2 linked regions of the Drosophila melanogaster genome follow. The protein of the gene in region 1 interacts with the protein of each later gene in a pairwise test. Each region holds a gene or a part of one and is shown on either strand. Other genes may lie near its edges.

Region 1 (7,992 bases):
AAATAACCCCCACTAAATCCGCTTTATTTATACCCTATTTAAGCTTCCTTTTCAGCCGGACAAACACAAAATGTCACGATTGAGTGAAGGAAACCCTTTCGATTGGCCGTGGAAATTTTTAATTAAATCAGTGCCCATGGCCGCAGCCGAAAATGCTCAATTATTAAAACAAATAAAGCCAATTAGCTGTGTCAACACGAAGCGCTGTTCGCTGCTAGATGTGGTGGTGGAAACTCCTGGCTGGCCAACCCTGGTGGCCATTATCCATTCGCTAAACATCCATCTCCGTCGCCAACCCCCAGCTGTCACTTAAGCCCCCCATTCCCTTCTCGATCGTCACGAGAAGTTGTTTTAATTGACACTGAAAAGCCGTCGCCATCATCGCACATCAGATTTCCCAACAACGGATTCATCAGCACCGTGGGCTTCCATTTGCGAGTCCAATAAAAACGCTAACGAGGCGAGGGTGCTCACAGATACTCAGATACTCTGCATGTATGTCTAAGATATTGTATCTGTATCTATAAATCGGGCAGATGGACAAGCGTAGGAGGGTTATCGCAGAACAATTAATTTCCAACCAATAATTGCGAGTTGAATAGGGGATAGGAAAACTGGTAAAAATATGCCCATAAAGCAATATGTCCATAAATGACAATAAATAATGCTAAAACATAAATGTTTTTTTACAATTTCATAAATTATTTGAATACTTTTGGATATCCAGATGCGTAAAGTTCGAGTACTTTTTACACTGAATCCAAATAGTACATTTTAAAAACTAAGATGATGCTAAATATATAATGGCCCTTGTGGAAATGTATAGATAGTAACATTATATTTAGCCTGTGTGAATGAGACCGGGTGACCCAGCCAACCATATACAGTACAGTACAGCCTGCCCACAAAGAAACCCCTTGTTAAAAACCCACCTCCTTGTGAAAATCCCCCCTTGTTGGAAACTGGCAAAGCCGTGCAAAGTACTCGTGATAATGAGCTCCATCTCGTTGGCAATTATTAAATGAAGTGGATTTATACGCTGTGGCCCCCTCCCCTTTCGACAATCGCCCCTGCCAACACCCATCCCGCTCACTCCAACGGAACAAAGCGTCCAACCCCTTGTTAGCAGCTGCTAATACTGTTGTCCCGTTCTCTCGCACACAGATACTGCTTGCAGCCAATCAACGCCAGTTGTTGGTTTATCTCGCTCAGTGGCTGTGGAACATGGAAACGTCTTGTGGATTGCATTTCCACATGCAGAGAGACTGGGGCAGAAAAACACCAGTGTGAAGTGGTCTATGGAAGAAGGTGCTTCCACTGGAAGAACCTAATTTTAGTCGACTTTAATTAGTTTGCTGAAATGCTAAGTAAACCTTATTCGAAGAACATTATAATTGTTACTGGACAGTCATTAAAGGATAAACCGAAGCTTAATTGTAAAGCAAATTAGGCGCTTTGTTTCTTCTCTTTATGTATGTTTATTTAATGTAAATAATGTTAGTAAATGTTTGTTGAATTATACAAAGTAAATTCAACGAAAAGATGTGTAACATATAAATTGATTAATTTTAAAATCCATTTTCATTTAACAGATATGCTTATCGTATTTGTTCGAACTAAAACCTGAGTTACACAAGAATTAAACAAATGTATCTCAAATATATAATTTTACATCTACCGAGAAAAAGGCCCTAGAACTTGCATCGCGTTTCGCGAACTGATAATGCAGGCATTTGCTGCATTTTATCTTTTTGTGGGCCCTCCTTCTGGTCATATATCAAGTGCGGTAAATGCCAAAAAATACGCCCACAAAATCATTGATTGCCGATCGATAACCTTTTGCGGTGATGGAGCATCCCATAAAGTTCTCGTCCCAGCTCATTGTCTGACTAATTAAATGATTTATCCCGAATCGTGAGGCAGAGGAGCTGGAAAGGAGATGGGAAAGAGTAAAAACCAATTACAATTACCGCACCCAGAGGTGCCACACTCACAGATATAGATATATGTATACGTGTATACATGAGTGCATCTGCGGCAGCAAAGCTGCTGCCCCACCGACAAGCAACGGCCTTATCTAGATGCATACAAATCCAGCCAAGCGCACGTCAATTTATTTGCCAACTCTCGCCTCCTTTCTGGCCAACATCCATATCCATTCATGGCCAAAAGGAGGAGAATCGCATGTATTTACCTATGAGAAGGCTGCGAAGTTGGCGCTGCATGTTTTATGCCTCCTCCTGCATCTTTAACGAGGTGTTTATTTTCACAACTCACAGCCAGCGGATGAGGATGCGGATAGGGATGGGGATGGGAATGGGGATGGGGATGGGTATACAGATACTCGGATGACCACGCACAGATACAGATGCAGATACGTTCCCTTCCCAGCACGCTGTATCTGTATCTGTGAGATTCGCGCAGTTGCAGCTCGCCGAAGGTGTAGAAACCAAGTTACCGCCCATTTTCGTGTCCAAATGCTTTTGGCCAACATGATGCAGATGCCAATTCAGAATGGTAGAATGGCCAAGCGGCGGGGGGAGGGAAAGTGGTTTATAGCCAGCACTGACGACGGGGCGTCTAAGCTATATAAGCGATGACGTTGATTCCACTGCACAGTGGTATCGGCTCGATATCCTTTGAAAAATGCGTATTTTCTACTTTTGAGTTATGTACAAATTTGAACACTTTTTAATATCGATTTTCCAGTAGATAGTAAATAATTTAATACATGAAAACAATTTAAAAACGGTTACTGATGAAAGATAAACGTTTAAGCCTTAAATATTTCAATGAATAAATACAATTCAATTAAATAAAGTTTCAATTTTTTTTTATTGTTAGTATTTGCATAATTAAAAGAGGGCACAGTTCGCTTTTCAATTTTAAATGTTATATTTATTATATTTATTTTTAATCATCGAAGACCTACTTCCTATCCACTGTTCGGGTGCACCACCCCCGTTCCCCCTCCTACGCTCCAACAAACTGGCCAACCCGCTTGGCACTAAAACCACAAACGCTTTAATGATGCTGTTTTGTTTAGCGCAAATTGTTTGTTTCGCTGTCATAAACTGGTGCGAAAAATGGCCAAGAGAGCGACAGAGAGAGAGAGAAAAAGAGAGAGATTGGGGCCCCTCACACACCCACACACCAACAAGCCCAGAGAGCGGGAGAGCGAGCGAGAGAGGAGGTGGCTCCACTTGGAGCCAAGCAGGTTTTCGGAATATCCACTGAACTATTGTTGCGCTGCTTTGGCGCACGCGCACCGAGCCACGTGTGCGAGCGAGACGCCAGCAGTATTGCTGCGCTGGAAGTACAAGCAAAGGAAGAAGAAGCACACTCGAACTGGCCCCACAAACTTTTTGCGGCTTTTTCCAACGCGACACTCGAGCTAAAACGCTCAGCGTGAGAGCCACGCAGCGATTCGCCGACGCCCCCGCCAAAAATCAGGACAGAAAGAGAGAAAGCGAGAGAGAGACAGAGGTTGCGAGCGGCGAAGTGGAGCCAACAATTAGACGCCTTTAGACGCTCCATAATGCTAATGGCGTTGACAGTGCTCATCATCATCGCAGCGCGGCCACCGCAATCGTTTCGTTACCGGGTAGCCGGCATAACCGTTAACCGTTAACTGATACCGCCACCGCCACCGTCAATCGCCAATAGTCAATCGCCAACCATCAATCGCCGCCGTCAATCGTCCAGCGAAGCGGTACGGTCACGCTCCAATCGCCGCGTTGCCGCCGCTCCAGTTACAGTTACAGTTTATCAATGTCACGCCGACGGATGCCAACCGCTGGAGCATCGCAGATACAACGCTACGTAGCTATATAGCTATAGCTATCTGATCGGAAAAACAGTGCGTGTGTGCTTATCTGATATCTAGTAACCATTAACCGATGTACGCGATCATGTTTCCATAGCACCAACCCATTTATTGGGAGCTTCGATCAGTACAACCCTTTTTCCGTTTCCGTTTCTATTCAGTTCAATTCCATTTCAATTTCCATTCCCTTTGATTTTAGTAGGATTTTTACCGTTTTATTTTATTCCTAAAACTTTTAGTTGAGCATTATTCTTTTATTTACTGATTTATCCCGTTCGAAAATACAAAATTTTTTTTTTCAAAAAAGTCAAATATGGAATGGAAAAAATGGAATTTAAGGCCTACAAGTGTTCTTATAATCTACTTCGACTTGCAGAGACTTCGAATCGGGAAGTTTAAGAGGAGGGAAAGTGATTCATTTGTTTTTCCAATCAACGAAACCCCTACCAAATGGTCACCTGCGGCCGGCAAACGTTCAACATGCTGCCCATGGCGCCGACGAGTCCTTTTGTGAGCAGCAGCTCCTCGGTGGCCGCATCCTCGACTTCCGTTTCCGCCAGCAGTACCGTTTCCGCCTCCGCGAGCAGCAAGCCCAAGCTGGCCTTCAGCATCGACTCGATTGTGGGCGAATCCTCGACGAGATCGGCTCCACTAAGGGTCAGTGTGATATCTTCGCCGCCGCCGCGCAGCGAAAGTCCCGCTTCGCCAACGAACACGAACAACAGTGGGCGCCGGACGCCCAGGGGCTATATCTACTGCCGCAGAAGGGATTCGCTGGATCGATCGCGCAGTCCTCAGAGATCACCGGTTAGCCGGTCGCCATCGCCCCCCAATGCAGGAGGCAATCCGGCAGCGGCCGGGAATACTGCAAAGTCCGGGGATCCATCGTCGGGAACGGGAAATCCTCCAACCCTCATCCGTCCGTTGCCTCTGCCGGCGCCAAATCTAGCTTTAATTGGGAACCGCACCTCACCGAACGCCATGGCGGTGCGCATGGCGGGTCCGCCCCACCCGCCGTCGCAGCCACCGCCGTTCCTTGCCGCCCAGTTCCAAATGGCTGCTGCACTGGCTCATCATCACCAGCAGCAACAGCAGCAGCAACAACAGCAACTTCCGCCCGTGCCAACTGGACCGCCACATGGTCCACATCCGCATCTGCCGCCCGGCCAAATTCCACTTGGAATCTTTCCCGGCGGACCGCATCCCGGGCATCCTCCGCCCCACGGACACCATCCGTTCGGGAGTGCGCCGCATCTGATCCGGGATAGCTATCCGTTGTATCCATGGTTGCTCAGCCGACACGGACGCATTTTTCCACGATTCCCAGGCAGTAAGTAATCACACTGTTTTAAATATATCTATTGTTTATTACAATATTTTCAATAAGTTCAGAGTTCAGAGAAGCTAACCGGTTTAGCAAGCGGTACTTTCATATGTATATAAAACCGCTAAAAATTATTTCTATAAATTGAAAAATATAATTTTTATGCATAATCATCTAAGCTAACAATTATTTGTAATAAATTTACTGCAAAATTAATAACAGTTTATATAACAATAATACATATCATTTAATTTAATATTTACCCTATTCTGATAATAAGAGTACATCTCTCTTTTACGGATTATTAGAAAGATAGTTGTTACATATATATTTTTCATATTTGAACATTAGAATATTATGATAGTTTACGGTCGGTTTCTTCTTCTGGAGATAGCAACCACCCCTTTTGTTGGTTATTTTTCGCTATAACGAGTTTTCCGCATTCATTATAGCCGTTTCAAATGGCCGCTGAGTGTTGCGAGCGACAGAGAAAAAGAAACCACACCTTAAGTCATATTCGAAGCCCAGCACCATTATAGTAGAGAGGACCCCAATCAAGCAATTATTCAGTTATCGCTGTTGTTGCCGCGCAGCTCCATATAATTAAAGTTAAATAAGCAAATGGCAAACATTTATTACAAGTTAATTAGACGTGTATCGGGCTCATCATCATCAGAGGGAGCGGGACGGAGAATGGGAGCGAACAGGAAGGGGGGAATGTGGAGGGAACCGAACCCATTTTGATAACTATTTCCAAACAAATTACATTTTAATTAAATTGTTTAAACAACATTACACACATCGTTAGGTCAAGCAGCGTACCTAAATGGCCAGCCAAGTGTGTGAGTGTGTGTTTAGCATTTATTTGCTCTATTTATACTTTTTCTCTTCACTCGAAATTACCATTAATGGCCAACAGACGGCGCCAGTTACTCATGCGGCGGGCCCATGCGGCGTATGTGTAACGTACGAAAAGTGCAACCATTGAAATGTTAATGCGTTTTTAATTGAGGTTTTGGGGCAACCAAGCAAAGAACCGAGAGGAATGGTAAAAAAAAAAAACTGGCAGATAGAAGCGAAGAGCCACCGCAAAGCGCATCTCAAAAACATTGTCATTTATTACGGTTTAACCACTTTTTTCTACCATTCCGCTGCTCTCATGATTACCATTTGAATTTCCAGGCCATGTTGGTATCCATGTTTTTTTTCGGCCGGTTAAATATAATAATAATTTTCGGCACACTCACACGCCTTTCACCTGCTTAAGTGTACATGTATCCCCGTTACGCCTTAATTATGTTGTACTCCGTTTCATTATTTTCTCCCTTTCTACTTGTTTTCCCATTTCCCGCCGCTCCTTCTCTTTTTTCTCACTTTTCTCCGCGCCGCCTGTAATTTTCGCTTGATTTATGAACGTGAAATGTCAATGTTTCGCATAACGATTTCATTAATTGTAAATGTTTTTCATCTCCGTTTGTTTTGTAACTCGTGTGAGTAATACCAGGTTACATGGGTTTGTTTTTCTTCCATTTTTTCCCGATCTGGAGTAAGATAATGGGGATCATCGCGATAGCGACGGTGATGATACGTCAGTAACTCAATTCAGCTTGCACGTGCTGCAATTTCTGGGTGTTGCCCTCTAATGCAGCCGTTGAAGTTCTGGGAAAACGGGTTAAATTAACAAGGCTGAGATCCTTATTATGGAGGGCTTAAATAGAGGGCACTGTAATTGGACAAGCTGCTTCGGGATTCCCATTCTAAAGGCTTACGAGTTAGCAGCTAACAATTAGTATACCTCATAAATATGTATCGTTAGAAATCGAATTTACGCATTAGAATATTTAAGTTGTATTCCTTAGTATCACTGCTCTATTTTATTGGTATCTTATGTAAATCATTTTTCAAAAAGAAGTATGTATGTATTTATACTCCACAGCATAAAACTGTAAAATCAAGTTTTTAAGTAGTGTTTTACCTTTTACTTCGCCCATTTATAAAATTGCACATTTCAGTAGTACATTGTTCAAACCCATTATCCCAACAAACCCACAAAATTCCATTCATACATCCCGACTGCAAATGGCCATTCCCGTCAAATCGATCATCACAACACATCATCCCCGTCTGTCATTCATTTGATTTCAATTATCGATTCCGAGTCAATGTCCTCGTACGCGGGACATGCGAGGAATGCAATAAATTAATGAAAAAATCATGAGAGCATAAAAATTAAGCCCTAACTCGGTAAAAAAGAAAGCAAACACAATTGCACATAAGTGATAAATAATAGGGCGCACAAAAAGGCCAGGACAGTCGAACAAACGAAATCGAAACGAAACGATCCGGCACTTCCATCATGGGCTAAAAAATAAGGTACACTCGAATCTCTATATATACAAAAAATGACAGCTGACAAGGGTGTGAGCCACTGCAAAAAAAAAAAAACAAAAACCATAAAAAACAACAACTTGGCCAGCAGAGCGGACACATCAATTAATTGTCAATTGCGCGTATTTTCGCACGGCGGTTTCCTTTGTGTCCACAAAGCTGGAGGAAAAAAAGGAAAAAGTGGGAAAAACTACACACACACTTCATTGAGAGCTGCTGCAGAGCTAGAAAAAATAATTAAGTGGCCATTGTGAGCGGCGGCATTATCAATTATACAGCCTCTTCTAAGATACAGTCGTGTATCTTGTATCTTGCAGCTACATTGTTAGCTGTCAAATGTAACAAATGTCAAGCGATCGTGGGCTATATAAAAAAAAAAGAAGAAGCCGAACTAGATCACTCTGGATGCTACCTCCTGGCAATCGTTTGTCAAGTTCATAGCAAAAACCAGGCA
Region 2 (5,137 bases), on another chromosome or scaffold:
CTGATTCCCTGAAGTGTTACACCTGCGTAACGCCAAAGGACTGCAAGAGTCCCAAGAAAGTCACCTGCACGAATGCGGCTGCGAATGAGACTAGTTACTACCTGGGTGTCTATCATCAGAATGTTGGCAACCTAACCAGCACGCGATTCGATTGCCTGGCTCTGAAGTACAACTGGAGTGAGTAGCGTGGGGACCCCAGAAGCGGACTATAAAGATTTATTAACTACTTTCCACTTGCCAGATAACGATGTGATCCATCAGCTCCATGGCTGTGTGCATCCAAATGTTGGAGCCTGCAGCTTAGCACTTAAGCCGGCCTATGCTCACTACAATAAGACCTGGTGTCTCACCTGTTCGGGCGACAAGTGCAACAAGAATCCGGCCGGAAAGATGAGCAGCAGCACTATTGCCATCGCGTCTAGCGTTCTGGGTCTCTTGCTGGTCAAGATGTATGCCTAGTGTGACTATTAATAAATATGAGCTAGGAGCTATGATATTTTATATTTGATATTTTTTATTGTACCGTCAATTTTAGTAATATCATAATTTCATTTGTAGATTATGTAGGCCATGTTTATTCGGTCGAGCAGTTAACTAGGAGTGGGTATCACTAATCGATGGCGCTTGAATGGACGGTGGAGTGACGAAAGTTGTTGGGCGCTTCTCTAGGAGGAGCCCATTGGGTTGACGGCGTTTGTCTGCAGGTTCTTGAGCAGCATCTGCAGCCACTGCTTGGTGCACGTGTCATGTTGCACGAGCGACGTGAAGGTGCCGTCACGCAGCAGATCCGGCAGACACACTCTAAGTGCACTGCGAGCGCGCGCATTTTCCGTAAGTAGTAGATAGCAGCGCACCACATGCTTCAGCACCCGGAGGCATGGAAACTTCAACATATGGATGACCATTTTGCCCAGGGTGATGGCCACCTGCGAGAAGCGATCGTGGTTCTCGCAAATGTACGTCAGACCCATCTCATCGAGCAGTATCTTCTCAAGGATTGAAGTGGCCGCGATCTTGGTCAGCTTCGATCCCCTGACCATATTGGTCAGACAGTGAGGCACGACCTCGCTCCATATCAGGAAGATGAGGACCTCCGTATCACCGGTCTCGGCCAGAGCATTAATCACGCCCAGCGTGGTCAGGCGCAGCTGCTCGAAGGGCCTGCTCTTGAACGTGGTCGACAAGAAGGGGTACAAGTACATCGGTATCTGGTCCCGCAGGAAGGCCGGGCGAGTCTCCGGATGCGAGGCGACGCACTGTAGCAAAGTCAGGGCGTAGCACACGCGGTTCGACTGGTTGGCCTTCAAAACGGGCGTCGTTATTATGGGGTATATGTTGACGATCTCCTGCAGCAGGGTGCAGGTGGTACCGACGCTTTTCCACAGCATGGGGGCCAGGTCCGCATAGGTGTTCTTGCTCAGCTCCAGCAGAGCGGTCTCCCGCGTGGCAGGATAGGCCAGCTCGATGATCAACTGGTACACCTTCTCCCGCTCGGCCTGCTGCTGGGGACTCATTACCGGACTTGGTTCCGCACTCATCGCAAAGCTGGTTTTTTTTCGCGTTAGCTTGCAAAGATCTAGTAGCTTGGAAAGATCTGGCTCCGGAATTTCGACGGACGATTGAGAAACGTGGTTTCGAGTTGGCGTCTATTGTGGTTATCGATATAAGCTTCAAGCGAGAAAGGACCGAAAGCACGTGGCCGAACAATGTGGCCAGAGCCGAGGAACGCACGAATGCCATAAATTAATAAATAATTTCTTGTTCGAATGTCTCCCAGAATTTTGTTTCTTATCACCATTGATTTGATTGGCAGCTTGGAATTCGTCTGGAAATTCACGTTTTCTCTATATTTTACAAGTATTAATCGGTAGATGATTAAAATTTATGATTCTATTAAGTATGTCATAGCATAGCTTAGCTCTCTGAAATGGCCAGACTAATTGCGCATCTGATGGAGGTCCGATTTATGGCTTAATGACCATTAAGTACTTTTGGACACCAGTTTTAGAATTAATGAATTCGTATTGACAAATACTATAAATCAAAAATCATTCTAGCACACACAAATATTTGCCTTTAAAATTTTCAAATATTTTATCTCGCATTTAACCCATTAAACAGATGGATGCTTGGAATAGTTGTCCATTTCTGGAATTACTTGCCAATACAGAAATGGTTAACAGAAAATGTATTCTTTGCCACATCGTGCAACATTTCAATTTTGTTTGTTGCAGAGAGCTTTAAAAATTTCAGTCCGTCACATAAATTGGCCAACTATCCCAGAGAAAATCGGAGATTCGAACGAGCCGAGAAACAAGAATAAATCTTTAATAGTGTTGCCGTCTGCCTAAAAGTCAATCTCACTTTTGCATGCCGAACATTATCCGGTGGGTCATGTTATGGTTATCGTGGCTCGGTTTGTTTGGAGCTGCATTCAGGCATTTAATTGATTGATTGTTGCTCGTCTATGTCTGCATCGATTTGGCCGTGTTCACGCCCCTTTCACCCTTTCACCGAGCCGCCTCCAAAATCCCGTTACAGCGTCCCCTTTTTCGGATGTTTCATAACCAAAGCGGAAGGGATCCATGCCGCCCATCATATCGTGCACGGTTATCAAATCGACTTCCAGGCTATATCCTCGCATACATGCATATGTGGTCCACGTTGTTCCTGCTGCCAATTAGTGTTGGTGCGTCATCTGTGTGGCTGTGTGAGTGTTCATGTATGTATGCGTGTGTGCACGTCATCAATTAATTTTTGTATTGTTACTTTTTTTTTTTTTGACTGGTTTTTTGCAGCCCTCGGTGGGTTACGTGGGGAATACCCCTGTTGACTGATTGGTTTCTTTTCGATTCAATTGTTTCATGTGTGCCTCGGAATGGGAATGGATGTGTTTGCTAAACAAAGTTATGACTATGGTCACGGCTATAGCAGCTGGCTCAGGACTAGCTATACAATACTATAGTTTTACTATAGGCAAGCTTAAGAAGTTATTGTTCCCTCGAGATATGCGAATCAAAACGAGTGTCACTAAGAAATTATAGTTGTTAACAATGGAAAGTCAACACTTATGATACAATTCTTATCTGTCTTGCCTTAACCAATAACTGTAACAGTCTTAAATACTTGAATACAAACTACTGCTTACATTTGAGACCTACCCAGATTCAAAAATCAAACATCCGCACCACCAGGAATATTCTTACTTTCCCCTTATCTGTGCTCCAAATCCACCCTCGATATCCGAAACTTGTTGGGAACTCCCGGAAACTAAATTAAGTTTAGCTTCAACTACAATATGTACATTTGATTTATGCATTGAGAGACCATGGAGCAACCTGCCCGAGACCCCAGAAAATTTCCTCCTGCGAAAACGAAGACGGGAACCCTCTGATAACTAAGCCAAACCTATTCAACTTTCACGTTCGCATTGTTTGCACGAGCACGAAAAGTTATTAAGATGCATAGACGTGATTTTGCATGTTTTAAAAAAGAATACATAATGCCACAGATGAGACGGGGGAGCAAAGGACGTGGTATTAGTTGGGGGGAAGCTGGGATCTTGACTTGCACTTTAAGTACTTTTAATTTACCAAACAAATTTCCATTCTTCGCGACGACCGAAAATGTTGCATTCGAGAGGCCAAAAGAGGCCCGAAACTTGTCTCACACCGCAAAGACAAACTCATTGACATGCCTGAGACAGGAATTGAATTAAAAGTTTTCGTCCTTCTGCGCGGAAATAGAATAACGAGTAGAAGTTTCATTGTTGGGCTTTTGGAAAAAAAGTTTGCTGCATTTAAATTGATTTGTAATTCGCGGTTAATTTGGTTTTTTTCAGCTCCTTCTTTGGTTACTTTTATCAATTTTACATTGTTAGTTTTGGACCCTTCTATGCGATTAAATTATTATTTTAATTCGACACGGAATGCCTGACAGATATTTCAATTTCCCTTTGTATTTAGTTTTTACTGAAAAAATGCTGCAAATTAAATATGTATGTATTATCATTTTAAATTGTCGCAAAATGTCTGCGGTATTGCTTGATGCTTTGTGAATTTTCGGTATGTAAATCAAAGAAAGGCAATTTGAATAATGATGCTGCAATCTGAATTAAATTTTGACATGCCGATATTAAAGACCAAATAAGCAATTCAATATTTTGCATAAATTTCGAATTGCTTTATGATTTGCGTTATGTCCATGATAGCATGAGCATTTAATTTTCAATGAATAAATGGACCTGTTTGAATTATTCACATTTCCCATTAATTTTCCTACGCAAATGATTAAGATGGAAATTTAAATTCTATTATGACGGCATAAATATTGCAGTTAAGTAAATTGTTTTAACAATCTGATTGAATTTACCGTACAAATTTTTTGTTAAAACGCGTTACAAATCGATGCTATAGTTAATATTACAGAACAGAACAATTAAAAAAGTCCTACAATTAAAAACAGCGAAAGTGTTGCCAAAAATCAGCACAAGGACAAAACACACTGCAAGCTCATAAATCGAAAAAAATCAACATTTAACAAATAAATCAAATCCAAATACAAGTAGACAAAATTTACACATTCGTTTGGTATTTTTAGAATTTTCCGCACATACATTATCAATTGGTTATATACAAATAGACATCATATAAATTCGAAGAATTCATAATTTATGTGAATCAGCCAATGTGTAAACACCAAGAACTCGTAAATAAAAACGAAAATGCCAACAAAATAAGTGGCACAAAATCTGGTTTAGTGCAGCCTAAAAGGCCTCGGCTCCAAAAACTCCTCGAAAGTGTTTGACAATTATTATTGTAATATTTGCCTAAAACGTTTATCACATTGTCGTAAAATGTACTATAACGAACTGCGAAAGGATTGGATTTGGGGTTTTGTTGAGAGATTAGCAAATGGCTTGGTGTTTCTATCTGTCCAATGTAACTAAGCTTAGCATTGTTTTTGGGCTGGCTTTTGGTTTGGGACTTGTTTGTAAGTAATTAGAAAGATATTTGGCTTATATGCTGGTGATTTTGTGTTGACCCAACAACTTTATTATTATGCTAATAATGATGTGAGGACCGAGGCAAGTTTAAGCTAATCACTTTCAGATCATGTGTGTGCTAAGGATGTGTCA

Evidence for each region. The genes of interacting proteins can lie anywhere in the genome.
Region 2: the proteins of E5 (region 1) and Rcd-1r interact in a two-hybrid assay, tested with the Drosophila melanogaster proteins (one large-scale study listed by BioGRID).

Annotation. Positions count from the first base shown.
Region 1 is NT_033777.3:13,870,464-13,878,455, reverse strand, and holds the start of E5 (E5), read left to right. Parts: upstream 1-3,539; 5' UTR 3,540-3,859; intron 3,860-4,202; 5' UTR 4,203-4,276; coding exon 4,277-5,156; intron 5,157-7,992.
Region 2 is NT_033779.5:9,012,385-9,017,521, forward strand, and holds Rcd-1r (Rcd-1 related), read right to left. Parts: upstream 1,685-5,137; 5' UTR 1,539-1,684; coding exon 666-1,538; 3' UTR 501-665; downstream 1-500. Other genes in the region: CG13102 (uncharacterized protein), read left to right, coding at 1-177, 242-459.